2 linked regions of the Kluyveromyces lactis genome follow. The protein of the gene in region 2 interacts with the protein of the main gene of each other region in a pairwise test. Links are inferred from orthologs where the notes say so. Each region holds a gene or a part of one and is shown on either strand. Other genes may lie near its edges. The genes, in order: KLLA0_D08811g and KLLA0_F19965g.

Region 1 (2,892 bases), on a different chromosome or scaffold from region 2:
CACTGACACATAACAAAGTATATAAACCAGTACTTAGATCTAATCTACTAATTAGTAGGGATCAGATCTAAAGACACTAGGTGCATCTAATTATACTAGGAGATATATAGCTAATCAAGATGGATTCTTCTAATAAAGATCTGACAAGATCAAAGCCACGTGACATGTATAGTCACATACCGCAACACTACAGCTGTGTAGAGAGTTTCTAAGGAAGCTCCTTCATATGAGAAGTTATTTCCTAATCAATTGCATGAAGGGAGAATTTTCAGGTTTTAAGTAATGGCGTGGTTTCTGTCGTTCGTTCTTCAAACACACAACCAATGTAGGCGTTTTTGTACTGCTATCGTTAAGACGTACCTTTAGGTTAATTAAAAACTGATCCATATCAGACTTCAAAATGATGTCAGCGTTTAAGCAGGTACTTGCTTTAGCATACACTGAAACCAAGAACAAAATCGAAAGTGTTTGACTATTACTAGTAAAAACCACATATATACTACAGGCTGTACCAGTACCATGAGGTAAACACACAGCCATGAAACATACTGGCTTGACTCTCATTTTTTAATGTGAAGTTTGCATACTATTTATTTCTTGTTCAATTCGATGTGTTTGATAAATTTTGCAGGGTTACCTGCCACAACGACATTAGCATCAACGTCTTTAGTGATCACACTTCCAGATCCAATAACAGCATTGTCACCAATTGTAACACCAGGCAAGATTGTCACGTTTCCACCAATCCAGACTCTATTTCCAATTTTAACTGGGATACCAAACTCCACGCCTTTCGAGCGTTCAATAGGATCCAGAGCATGTGACGCTGTGTATATATGTACACCAGGTCCCAGCAGAACATCATCACCAATTTCAATTTTACAAACGTCTAACATAATGCAATCGAAATTGGCGTAGAAGTTCTTTCCGACAGTGATGTTAGATCCATAATCACAACGAAAGTTTGGTTCAATAAAGGCGTTGTAGTGCTTTCCCAATAACTGATCTAGAATCCGTTTTCTAAGCTCTTCATCTTCTGGTTTGGACTGGTTGAAATCGTAAACCAATTGACGTGCTTTGAGTCTTTCTTCTACGAGTTCAGGATCCATACATAAGTATGGCTCACCTATAAGCATCTTCTCTTTTTCGCTCCTTGTCATTGTTAAAATGGCCTGTGAATATCCTGATCCAATCCTCTTTATTATTCAGGAGACAGTATAATTAGATTAACTTATCTTGTAAGGATGTTCAAAAGCTGAATAGATTCAAGTGGTTGTAAATTCCCCAGTTTTTATATGCGTTTGAAGGTATACTTCGGATATGTCTAAACGTCAATTTCTCTGCAGTGAAACCTATGTGGAATGAAAATTACACCTATAAAGTGTTGATATTTCGGAACTTTAAGTAGCTGCGGAAAAACCCTTGCATAAAGGGAGACATACCGGAATATCGGAATACCAAATGCAAGTGTCGTTGCATGATACTGTAATCGATTGGAGATAAATCGCTGACGATTCGAGTAAAATTTCATGACAATTGGTGATACATTGTTCAGACCGTGTAGTAGAACAATGGAGGATATCGTTCATGTATGCCACGGTTTAAGAATTGGAATGGACTAATGAAATACATCCACAAAGGGGAAACTTCCAAAGTATTTTTTGGTGGAAGTACATTGGCAATTGATCTTTCACTCCGTTTTGTACTTTTTATTGTCATAGTATTATAGCACTTGGCAGTTGAAGGTTCCTTCTAAGAAGCACTCCAGAAGGGTTGAAAGGTGACAAGGCATTTTGAGTTCATGACTAGCACTTGAAAATGTGCTTCTATAAACAACATCAGAAGACATGATAGCTGGTTGTATAGTGTAGTGGTTATCACTTTCGGTTTTGATCCGAACAACCCCGGTTCGAATCCGGGTACGACCTACTTTTTTGTTCGTATATGTGAATTGTGTATGTATGTTAGAGCGTGTAGCCAGCAAACGCACGGTTGAAGAAGCAGAACCCTTCTCGACTTTCAAATGACACACTGTGCTAATTCTTTAATTACGTTAACCACATTCTCTTTTAACTACAATCTATCTGCTTTCTTACGAATACGAATGTCAATTTAATATTCCAAACCTAGACTGACATTTCCTGTTCGAAAAGACTGATTCAGCAAAAAACCACTAGTTTAATGTTGTAGGCAATTTATTGCCTAGGCCAAACATAACAATTCAGTTCTACAACCAGGATATGCACTTGTTTTACACTGAATCGACAAGCGTGCACTGATTTTTTTTTAAAGACTTATCTCTGACCTTAGCTGCCCTCATCGTATTTCTGGCTGCGTCACCTCTTGCTCGTTTGAACGATAACTTCGAATCACCAAGAAAAAAAAAAAAATAAACAGCTTAAAATAATTTGCGTATATATGAACACATAGGATAGTCATTTTATTCTACGATTGAAAATATGAACCGTACTTTTCGATACCTTAACTGCATCAATTACAGATAACATCATACTGTCAAGATGGGGAAAGTTGCTGAATTACTTTCGCATCCACTTGAATTGAAAGCAGCCTTAAAATTGAAGTTTTTGAGAAAGCCATTATTTCCAGATGTCGTGATTGAAGAATCTGCCGATCTTACGAGATGCCACGAGCTTTTGAAGTTGACTTCCAGGTCTTTTGCTGCAGTGATTATGGAACTTCATCCTGAATTGCGTAATGCCGTCATGCTTTTTTATTTGGTTTTGAGGGCTTTGGATACTGTGGAAGATGATATGACTATCGATCCAAAGATCAAAATCCCAGTATTGCGTGAATTTGACTCTAAGTTAGATCTACCATCATGGTACTTTGACGGTAATGGCCCTAATGAAAAGGATCGTGCTGTATTGGTCG
Region 2 (3,354 bases):
TTTATGGACATTTGGTCAATTTGAAACAATACAGAGATGATCAGCAGTTCCCCTGCATAAGGATGAACCGTTTTACAAAGAGATTTAAGATTTTTTTTTACAACTTGAAATGAGCCAAATTCAAAATGGAGTACCAAGCTTTTCGATAATTGAATGATTGGTTAACGAATATGTGTCGCCAGCTGCGACAAGTACACAAAAAAAGCCTGTGAACAATAATACATATATACTAAAAAAAAAAAAACAATGTCTATAATAAAAAACCTCCTCCGTTCGAATCACGAGAGTCGCGTAAAAGCAAAAATAATACAACTTAAAAAGTAAACGTTTTTAAAATGAGATTTGTGACAGCAGTGAACGAGAAGATGAGCAGATTCGACTGGTACTAGCTGGCCAATGTGTCAAACTCCGTAAAGAAAATATGCGACTCCTACATCGAAAAGCTTGAAGAATGAAACTTTAGATAATAGAATGATGCACTGAAAAAATTTGGCTAAGATGAGCTGACAAAGAGGAAGAGGTTAAGAGGATAATGAGAGATGAAATATGCAAATGATGGGAGACGGTGAGAAGATGTTACATAAGTAACAGTTCAGGAAAGCAGTAAAAAAATTCAGTGGAAATAGGTCAAAAATTAAAAACGTCTGACTCTGCGCAAAAAGACTTTCTTTCAGACAAATTGCAAATTCTTATTGAACTGTCTTAAATTTGAGATACAATTCAATTTTAGTGGAAGGAAGATGATATGCTCATTCTTTACCCCCAAGCGCCAAAGTGAGGGCCCTACAACGTATAAGGATAAACCTGGCATCATGCCATCGCCGTTACTGAAATCGTAGATTTGTTCATTGGTTTTGATCTCATCGATTTTCGAGCAGACGTTTTTACATGGCAATCCATTGATAGTCAAATCAGCTATTATCGTGCAAGTGAGGAAAACGTATCCCTTGAAATTAGGATATTCGAATTGAGATTCATTGATATTGCGTTGTTTCCTGATGTCTGTGAACAAACTCTTCAAAATACGGCAGTCCAATGGGTTAGCAACATTGACGTGAATAGTTTTCATTCTCTTATTGAAATAAAGAGTCAAGTCACCGGAATCGATTTGTACCACCAAATCCCTCGGATTTTTATCCACATAAGGGCGTTGGTAAGAGATCATATCCCATTCTGCCGGAGATTCCATTTTTCTTTTTTTTTTGGGACAAAAAGCGGATTCCTCAGATTCGGAATCACTGCGAATGATACATTCATTTATGTCTTCACTTTGCATCAATAGTTTCATCCCCGTTCTTCTGAGATGCTGTAATTTCATAGTGATCTCCTCTCTTTTGCAAAATGGATTACTAGTGATCTTATGAGGAAGGAGTCTCTGTTGTAAATTAAGCAAGCAGTAAAACTTACACTCTCTTAAAAGATTATTGATAGAGATATGACCAGGTACAACGTAGTCGTCATCCGTTAAGAGATTTAGGATTTCTTGAAACAATTCACTGGATCTAGTAACGAATGGGATGAAATGAGATGGGGGTCTGATCATTTTTTTATCGTGGAACAAGTTCTCCACATCGACCAACATCGAGTCGATCAAAAGATTAAAATAATTAGGGGAGTCTCCGGGTCTATCGAAGACACTTTTTGAGAATTTGAAATGCTTACCGCCGATGTTAATGAAATAATAGTCGTATTTTTGCAACATTCTCTTTAACCTAGGTAATCTATAGTACAACGAATCCAAAAATAAGGTAATGAATTCTTTCTCATCCAATATTGATAGAGGATATCCTTGTAAATGGGCCATAATAGTCTCGAAAACAACATCCGATCTATCGATGGTCAAAACGTGAGATGCATCTGCATTCTCTTGAGAATTGAAATAGTCAGTGAAAAAAGAGGGACCATCGCTGCTTAGCGATGCACCACTAACTTTAAACAATTTCGATCCCACCTGGATCTGATAAATATTTTCATGGGCCAAAAGTTCTGGTATATTGATCAAAGCTTCACTAGTATCGACAATATCCATCTTCTACAAAGTAATTCGAGTCTTTAATATCTAACACTCAGGCTCTGGAATCTAGTAATCTTGATCCAAATTTAATTTTTTCACTGCCACCAAAGCAACTGTATGAAATGCACAGTTTCAATAAAGAATCAACAAAATACAAGTTGAACCGTAAACTTAGTAGACTTAGAGTTCTACAAGCATCCCAAAATATTAAATACAGTAGACATCTGAAAAAAAAACAGAACACACGAAGAATCAAACTATAAAACCTACAAGTACCGTATATATCTAAAACCCTTCTGTCTTTGAAATACTCAAAATGTGTTTCCATTTGTAATACAAGTTTAAATTTCAAATCCCAAAATTTCATGCATACATTTTTTTTTCTATATGACAAACGGAAAATCTGAATAATAATGTGATATATACGCATCTATATGTTGCCATGAGCCTCTTGGTGTTAATATCTTGTAATCGCCGTCATGAACGGATAGTTATCTGGGATTCACTAGAATTGATACTATGTTGTATCCTTAGTTTCTACTACTCTCGTTAATTCCCAAGTTTATGCTATAAATTTGACATTTGTCAGATCTACGAATATCTCCGTCACACACAACCAATAGTAACATGAAAAGATATCTAAGTTTGAATTACACTCCAGACGTATTACCACGGATTTCGAGTTGTCCTCAAAGAATGTTAACAATCGCAGCAATAGAGCAAGCATTGAAGTATTACTGTATTTGCTTCTATCATTTGAAGAAGAGAACGGTTTTTAAAATAAAGGGTCCATCCGTCTGTAATAGCCGTAAATTTCGGATCAGATGTTTCTTTTTTTCCCTTCCGTTAACTACTCATCGGGTAACGGAAAGAACACTATTGCATATTCATATTCTATAGCTCGCTGAGGCTCGCTGAGGCTCACTACCGCATCTATCCCGGTATTCGGATAAACTTAACAGCAGGAGGCTCATCCTAGGAGCTTTGCAGTTGATGGCATGACCTAGTTAGAATCAGCCAATGATATCTATGAGAAATACGACGAAAACATTAAAAATATTTTATTTTTCATGAGTTCGAGGAACGAAACAGAATCCGCTTATACGTCGTTCTCGCCTCTTCTTCATTTCCATGTGTCAGCATCTACTTGAAGCAAAAAAAAAAGAAGATGCTGAGTGAATTTCGCCGTATTCTGCCTCTTTCTGCACCAAGTATATCTCATTAAATAATCAGGCTCTGTTGTCATGGCCCATATGCTTTAGCAAAGACGGTGATGGAAAAAAAGAACAAAATAAAAAAACAGGAAGCGTAACATTGCTATGGCCAAGGCAAGTCAGTTT

The links.
Region 1: the proteins of KLLA0_F19965g (region 2) and KLLA0_D08811g interact in a two-hybrid assay, tested with the Saccharomyces cerevisiae proteins (2 studies listed by BioGRID). The link is inferred for Kluyveromyces lactis from reciprocal best matches to the Saccharomyces cerevisiae genes MRX16 and YJL218W.

The regions. Positions count from the first base shown.
Region 1 is NC_006040.1:743,456-746,347, forward strand, and holds KLLA0_D08811g (acetyltransferase), read right to left. Parts: upstream 1,161-2,892; coding exon 591-1,160; downstream 1-590. Other genes in the region: KLLA0_D08789g (uncharacterized protein), read right to left, coding at 235-564; KLLA0_D08833g (uncharacterized protein), read right to left, coding at 1,724-1,849; ERG9 (bifunctional farnesyl-diphosphate farnesyltransferase/squalene synthase), read left to right, coding at 2,520-2,892.
Region 2 is NC_006042.1:1,858,724-1,862,077, forward strand, and holds KLLA0_F19965g (uncharacterized protein), read right to left. Parts: upstream 2,030-3,354; coding exon 671-2,029; downstream 1-670.